2 linked regions of the Rattus norvegicus genome follow. The protein of the gene in region 2 purifies or fractionates together with the protein of the main gene of each other region. This does not show direct contact. Links are inferred from orthologs where the notes say so. Each region holds a gene or a part of one and is shown on either strand. Other genes may lie near its edges.

What was found.
Region 1: the proteins of Stk11 (region 2) and Cops3 purify together in Homo sapiens (affinity purification with mass spectrometry; 5 studies listed by BioGRID and IntAct, with this or other methods). This does not show direct contact. The link is inferred for Rattus norvegicus from reciprocal best matches to the Homo sapiens genes STK11 and COPS3.

The regions. Positions count from the first base shown.
Region 1 is NC_086028.1:45,130,974-45,134,619, forward strand, and holds part of Cops3 (COP9 signalosome complex subunit 3), read right to left. Parts: coding exon 3,536-3,646; intron 3,438-3,535; coding exon 3,388-3,437; intron 1,200-3,387; exon of another isoform or gene 1,132-1,199; coding exon 1,039-1,131; intron 1-1,038. UniProt on the Homo sapiens protein: Component of the COP9 signalosome complex (CSN), a complex involved in various cellular and developmental processes.
Region 2 is NC_086025.1:10,239,043-10,243,463, forward strand, and holds the start of Stk11 (serine/threonine-protein kinase STK11), read right to left. Parts: upstream 2,924-4,421; 5' UTR 2,102-2,923; coding exon 1,812-2,101; intron 1-1,811. UniProt on the Homo sapiens protein: Tumor suppressor serine/threonine-protein kinase that controls the activity of AMP-activated protein kinase (AMPK) family members, thereby playing a role in various processes such as cell metabolism, cell polarity, apoptosis and DNA damage response.

The DNA of each region.
Region 1 (3,646 bases), on a different chromosome or scaffold from region 2:
AAGTGATGTGAACCATGGTAATAGTGGAGATGTCTGCACTCACCCAACAGCCTGAATGGCAGCGATCAAGATTTAAAGTGAATAAAAAAATAGGTATGACCAGGCTTTGTACTGTACACACGCCTTTAATCCCAGCACTTGGAAGCAAAGGCAGGCAGATCTCTGTGAGTTTGAGGCTAGACGGGTGTATCTACATGACTACATGAGTTCTAGGGTTCTAGACAGCCAGGGTTTTCGTAGAGAGGCCTTATTAAAACAAAACAAAACCACAAATAAACAACAATAATAATGAAGTAAAATAAAATTAAGTATATGCTATTGCTGTCATAAAAGTACTGTGGAAGAGGATGTAAGAAAAAAGATTAGGTGTCCAAAGTAGTCCACACCAGGAGACACTCCAGTCTAGTTCCAGGATGACCTACTCAAATTACAGAATATGGTGTAGCGTAATACAGATCAGGTTCACCTCCACGATATGCATTAAATAGGCAAAAGTAAGATACATGAAAATTCACATAGATTGGGATTTTGGGGGGCTTTTTTTTTTTAAAGAAAAGGGGTCTGTGTGTGTGTATCTGTGTGTGTGTATATCTGTGTGTGTGTGTGTATCTGTGTGTGTGTATCTGTGTGTGTGTATCTGTGTGTGTGTGTGTGCGTACGCGCGCGTGTGTATTCGCCTGTATGTGCAAAGTATCTGTAGAAGAAATGCACAAGAAAGTACTAACGTGTGTTTTCTCTGAAGAGAACTACCTCTTGCAATAATGAGGGAGATATCATCATATATCTCCAATTTGGGGAGTCTTTTGGATAAAATAAGTGAATAATGTTTTAAGACATAAAAAGTTGCCCATGTTTTCACACTTAAGTTCCATAATTTAACAGAAAATGACTTAAATTTCAAACATACATTGCTCCAACCATCACAATGATCCTGACACAGCTCAACCTTTACAGCACCACCCTCACCCACCATCTTCTGAGCAGGCCCAGAACAGCCTCACATCTCTGAGCATGCCGCTGCATACTCAAGCTTCATACCTGGCAGAGATCGGCGTGTACTGAGGTCAGCTGGTTTGTATTCATCTGCATCTTGTCTATGGCTTGCTTAAGGATGCCAATTCCTCGAAGGGGCTGTCAGAAATGACATCTCTTTCAGATAAGTTCTCAAAGTTGGCAGCACATTGGATCTTATGTTGTCACTTACAAATAAAAAACAACACTAATTGATAGGTTCCTTACATAGCAATAAGATTTCCACACTATGTCAGGAAATGTCTGCGTCTATTCAGTCACAAAACGCTTTGTTTCTTGGAATAGTTAAGATAATTTCAGTATCATACTTTAAATCAAAACTGTTTTCCCTCTGACAAGGACTATCACTAGTAAACCATTGCTTCCTTGAGGCTGGAGAGATGGCTCAGCTGGTGAGCGCTTGCCATGTAAGCACCAGGGTCGGAGTTCAGGCTCCAGACCCATGCACAGCAGATGTGGCAGTATGCACCCAGCATTCCAGGACTGAAGAGCCAGAGAGAGAGAGAGAGATCTCCGGCTGGCTGGCTAGTGGGGCTGGACAACCAAAGACCTTCAAGTTTGTCAGAGCCTCTGTCTCAAAAACAAGACAGAGAGTAAATTAAGACATCCAATGTCAGCCTGTGACCTCCACATACACTGAATGAGCACACATGTGCACACACATGTATACAAAACTAGAGTACTTTCCTAATTGTTAAGCAAAGATAATTTTTCTGTATCATTTACCACAAATTACTGCTGTGGATGACAGTGCTGCATGTTTTCACAGGGGAGTATTAGCCCTAAAGAGTAAATAGCCACTGACTCTATAAACACATGTCATAAGCCAACTGTCGTCTGCCTCCAATTACAAACAACAGCACTCAGCCTCAAGTAAAGCCTAACTCTGAAGATCAGAAGATAAAGCTATAAAATACCTACATAACTTTATAGCTTTGTCTGCTTTTGGGGGAATGGGTTCTTTGATATAGTTTTTCTGTGTAGGCTTAGCTGTCCTGGAACTCACTCTGTAGTCCAGGCTGGCCTCCAACTTATAGAGACCACCTGCCTCTGTCTCCCACGTGCTGGGATTAAAGGTGTGCACCACCACCACCTGGCTAATAGCTTTTTCAATAAAGAGGCTGGTAATAGCTCTCCTCTCAAAACTCAGAAGAGAGACAGTAGTATCTCCCATCCCCCATGACAGGGTATCATGTAGCCCAGTTTAATCTTGAATTAACATGTAGCCAAGGACGACCATGAACTCATAAACCTCCTGTCTCTATCTTCCAAGTGCTGGGATTACTCAGCTTTTTAAAAATATATTACATACATGTATGTATATGTATGTATGTATATACACACACACATATATTCATATATGTATAATCCATATGTGTGTATATGTATACATATATACATATACAAAGAAATGTATATGTATATATATGTTCTGCATGTATGTCTATGCACCACATGAGGGGGCCTGGTGCCCTTAGCCAGTGCTCTTAACCACTGAACCATCTCTTCAGCCCCACAACTTTTAATCAAATTATTTAGCTCCTAAAGAATAGGAAGGCTCTTTCTGCTTCTTCCTCTCACTTCCCAATCAAAAAGAAACAAACTATAATTTGTATCAGCATCACCAAAGGCAAAGTCTAAGAACGTTTGCAGGTGACAGAGAACTGAAGAGCAACATCAGTGTGTCCACCCACGCTCTGCCCTCTGCTTTCTGCAGAGACCATCAACCATCTACCTGGCCACACCTGGCCAGTCTGTGATTTCGTTGAGCATTATCTCAACATCCATTTCCAGGCTCTGCCCATCCTCCCTGTGGGCTACACGAGAACGTAGAAAGCACCCACTGAAGTATTTAGACGAGGAGGACACATCTACAGTTGACTTCCCAACAGTGAGGGAGGGAAGAAACAAGTGCTGTGAAACACTAACACTGGGAGAATCTAAGTCAAGAAAGAGCACATAAGACATCATCATAGGGAAGATCCTTTCAGCGTTCTATAAGGTGAAATCATCTTAATTAAAAAGCTGAAAGGGAAAAACAAGAAATAGCATCATGGTAACACAAAGGCACAGGTAGGTTTTTAGCTTTTTTCTTCCTCCAGTGCTGCGCATGGAACCACATACTTCATACATGCCAAGTAACTGCTCTACCACTGAGCCACACCTCCAGCCCAGACTTGCAGTTTCAAAACAACCAGGCACCTTCTGGGGGCCTCACATGTAGCAAAGGCTGCTCTCAAGGAAGCACACACATTTAAGTACTGAGATGCTGAGTACTGAACCTAGCCTTCTCTAGACTGGTTTGTCAGTCCAACACGCACTGCAGCAAACGTGAACGACTTGACTGTTTCTCACCTGTTTTCTCTCCACGAGTGCGTTTGTTAGCTGATGGCAAAGCCCAGCGACTAGATGCAAAGACAACAAAGACAATGACAAAATATTGAAAATATAAACACTGCAAAGAAAAGTTCATCCAGGAAAAGAGGAAGTATTATTAGCTTACACGTATCTGTTGCGTATCGAATGTGCTCGCCGTTACAAGTACTAATGAAAAGCTGCACCTGTGAGAACAGTGTCTCGAAGTCAGGAACACTGGGCATGGAAAACTTCACAA
Region 2 (4,421 bases):
ACCAGCTGTCGCCAAGCTGCCCCTTCCATGCTGTGGCTCTGTGCACACCAGCAGGTGCCCGCAACCTTAGGGTTCCCACTGCACGAGTCACTCAGGCAGTGGGTAACACCAGCACTCCCCTAGAAACACCTGGCTTTGTGTCCTGCCATTCAAGGACCTCAGAGCAGGGCAGTTTGCCAGTCCGAAGCTTTTGCCTCAGTTTCTCCTCCTGGCTTTTATCTTTCCTGCCCATGTGTGTGTACGTGTGTGTGTGCCACAGCACACATATGGAGGTCAAAGCAAACTTGTAGGAGCTGGGTCTGCTTTCACCTTCCAGACTTTGGGGCACTTACCTACTGAGCATCCTACCAACCCGTTTTCCTCATGAAACCAAGTTTTCCCATGCATCTGGCTGGTCTACAAACAGAAGCAATGTTCCTCCCTCAGTCTCTCTAGCACTATGACGACTGCATGTACCCATTTGCCCAGACCAACTCCTGGCTTGAGGAACAGTGCAGGCTCCTTATAGCACCCTACTGACGTCCAGTGGGCTGTGTCCAGCGTCTCTCTAAGCCCACACTGTCACTGCTGTACTTCCCCAAAGCGGCCACTTGCCTGGGAGGTCAGCAGTCACCACCCAGAGAGGAGCAGCCTATGGCACCTCCATCTTACAGACAAATTTTCCAACCAGGTTTTCCCCAGCTCAGGCCTCCGAACTCACTGAAGGCACACCTGACGCTGGGTCCCCACGGTTCCCCAGTGCAAGACTAACCTAGGACCACTCCTACAAAGAAGGCAAAGCAGGGGGGCTGGGGATCTAGCTCAGCGGTAGAGCGCTTGCCTAGCGAGCACAAGGCCCTGGGTTCCGTCCCCAGCTCCGGAAAAAAAAAAAAAAAAAAAAAGTCGGGCTGGAGAGATGGCTCAGCGGTTAGGAGCACTGACTGCTCTTCCAGAGGTCCCGAGTTCAAATCCCAGCAACCACATGGTGACTCACAACCACCTGTAATGGGATCTGATGCCCTTCTCTGGTGTGTCTGAAGACAGCTACAGTGTACACACATACATGAAATAAATAAATAAATAAATATTTAAAAAAAAAAAAAAGGCAAAGCAGATCCTGAGGACACCCCCCACCCGCCTGGCTCCACCGCTGGGTCCACACATCGGTTCCTGAGTATCTGCCTGCCTTCCTGTGGGTACCACTCAGAACAGTGCACAGCTGGCAAAAGCAAGAAGCTGCCAGACAGCCTTTCCTGGGACAGGACCACAGGCAAGGTCAGTTTGACAGCGCGTCGCCAATGCAGGCCCCAAAGATAAGGCCCCTTCTCGGAAGCCGGTAGGTGAAGTTTCCCAAGTTCCGCCAAGCCGGGCAGGCGATAAAGAGTCCCCACGGCCCAGCAATGCCAACTAGGCAGGATATTGCAGGGGCCCGGGCCAGCACTGGCTGGCTACCCACCCCCTTTCACCCCAAATCACCATTATTTTTGGCCCTGCCGGTTCCCTCTGTGTAAACAAACGAGCCACCCGCCTGGCAACGCCCGCCAAAGAAGGCAGGCCTGACTTGAGCCAGGACCTGGCCCAAAGAGGAGGGCTGGAGGCACAGTCGGCCACACGACCTCCCGCTAGGACAGTCCTACCGGCTGCCCCAGCACACAGACCCCCGAGGTGACGCTCAGGGAGAGATTGGGTAGATAAGATAGTGAAAGGAAAGGGGAGGAAAAGAGAAGGGAACGAAGGTTAGAGGAAAGTGAAGAGCCAAAAAGTGGAGGAAGGGCTGCCCAAGGAGTTCAAGGCAGCAGCACCCACGTCGGCCCCAGGCCCTTGGCACCTACTTCTTGACGTTGGCCTCGCCATTGGGGATCCTGCGCAGCTTTTTCTTCTTGAGGATCTTGACCGCCCTGCGGCATAAGGTCTCGGAGTCCAGCACCTCCTTCACCTTGCCGTACGAGCCCTCCCCGAGCAGGTCCCCCATCAGGTACTTGCCGATGAGCTTGGCGCGCTTGCGGCGCGGCTGGTAGATCACCTCGGTGGAGTCGATGCGGTGGATGAAGGTGTCCATGCCCACCGACATTAGCTCGCCCTCGGGGAACAGGCCCAACGGCTGGGGGTCAGCCACGTCCATCCTGGCCCACTCTTTGTCCTCGTCCCCTTCGGGAGCGCCAATTCTTTTCAAGTTCAAATTTCCCCCACCCGCTTCTTCCAAATGTTCAAGAAGGGGAAAAAAAGGAATGGGGGGGGGGGAAGGAACGACCTCCACAACCCTCCCGGTCCCCACAACCGGGTCCACGTCCGTTTCCTGGGCGCCAATTCTTCACTTTTGATTTTCCCCTTTTCTTCTAGGTGCTCAGGGAGAAAAAAAATGAAAATAAGAATAAAAAAAAAAAAAGCAATGAGCCCCCCCAACCCTCGCGTCCCCCTAATTCGGGTCCCCGGGGACGCTGCTTCCGACGGAGGCGACGGTCCGCCGTCGCGGCGCGCGGGCCGCTAGGTCATGGTCGCCACTTGGGCCCCGCGCTCAGGGGCCCAGGCGGCCGCGTCGAGGACGGTCCGCTCCGTCCATGTCCGGCCCGCGCCGACGCCGCGCGCGGCCCCTTAGTTCCCTTAGTTCCACGACTTCTCGGTGCGCAAACTCCACCCGGACGCGGGACACCCACAAGTCGCGGGCACGAAGTCGGGACAGGAAATCTTCGGGGGACCAATGGGGGGAGAAAACCACCCGGGGCGGCGCGTCCCCCTCGCCGCCTAGCCGCCGCGTGACAGGCAGGAGGCCGGAGCGGCGAGGGGGGAGTCGAACTTCAGGCAGAAAGATGCTGTCCGCGAGAGAAAACTCCACGCCGACACCGCCCTCGGAGGCTCGCGCCTCACTCGCGGGCGCTGTGAGCCGCCTCCCCTTTCCTAGACCGACACGCCGCCGCCATCTTGTTTACCGCCCTGCGCCGCGCCGTCGTCGCACGTCTCAACGGTGGACACGCCCCCTCGCGGAGCCGACGTGCGCGGCAGTTGGCTGTAGCTTTAAACCCCACCCCTCGAACCCGCCGCAATCACCAACGCGGATTGGACTATTTGGATCTGGGTGGGCACCCGAGCTGACATTGGACAGCTCGGGTTCCACTTGTGAAGGCGTGATCTACATTCTCATTGGTAGTCTCAGACGCCGGTCAATGGGAGTTGGAGTAAGCAAGTGACTGTAAGGGAGCGGCCGTGGGCTGTGGCTTCAAGCCCCGCCCCTCGGCAGTTGGTTGGTGTGTGTGGGCGGGATCTTATCTGTAAGTGGCTGTCCTAGACGCCCGTCGGCAAGTGCGACTGGCCAGCGAAATCTCTGGGCTGCCGGTGGTGACCTCGGAGTTTCGTGCCTCGGGTTAGAGTTCACGCGCGTCAACGTCCTCTGGGAACAGCCGCGACTGGAGGCATGGTGCGGGGGGTGGGGGTGGGGGGAAGAAAGGGACTCCTGGATACCTAAAGTGATCTAGCCACTGCTTGTTCTTAACGGCCTTGGGGGCGGAGTCAAAGGTCAAATAGTAGCCCAAATTTGACACTTCGGAACCTGGAGCCACTGAGATCAGTGTGGGGATAGACCCAAGCTGGTGCCATAGAGAGGAGCGTTTCGTGTGCAAAATAAGAGCCGCTGGGCTGGTGAGATGGCTCAGCGGCTGCGTACGATTGACGTCAAGTCTGACCGCATGAGTTCGAACCCCGTAAATTCACAAGGTGGACAGCAAGAAATGCCTCTCACAGTTTGTCTCTGATCCTAAACGCTCCGTGGCAGGCGCGCGCGTACACACACAACACACAGAGTTTTAAATAACAGTTGTCAAAAAAAGTGGCTGGGTAGGCTGAAGAGGTGGCTCAGTGGTTAAGAACACTGACTGCTTTCCTAAGGGTCCTGAGTTCAATTCCCGGAAACCACATAGTGGCTCGCATCTCATCTGTAATGAGATCTGATGCCCTCTTCTGGTGTGTCTGAAGACAGTGACAGTGTACTCACATACATAAAATAAATAAGAAAATCTTTTTTTTTAAAGGTGTCTGGGGGCTGGAGAGATGGCTCAGAGGTTAAGAGCATGGACTGCTCTTCCAGAGGTCCTGAGTTCAATTCCCAGCAACCACGTGGTGGCTCACAACCATCTGTAAAGAGATCTGATACCCTCTTCTGGTATGTCTGAAGACAGCTACAGTGTACTTGTATATGATAAATAAATAAATCTTTTAAAAAAAATAAAAGGTGTCTGGGTTGGGGATTTAGCTCAGCGGTAGAGCGCTTGCCTAGGAAGCGCAAGGCCCTGGGTTCGGTCCCCAGCTCCGAAAAAAAGAAAAAAGAAAAAAAAAATGTCTGGGTAAGATTGATGTGGCCGCTGGCCTCATCTCAACTGTGTTGCAGTATTTTGGGGTGGTTTGGGTTTTGGTCACTTTCCTATAAAAATTTAACTTGTTTACTTTTATAG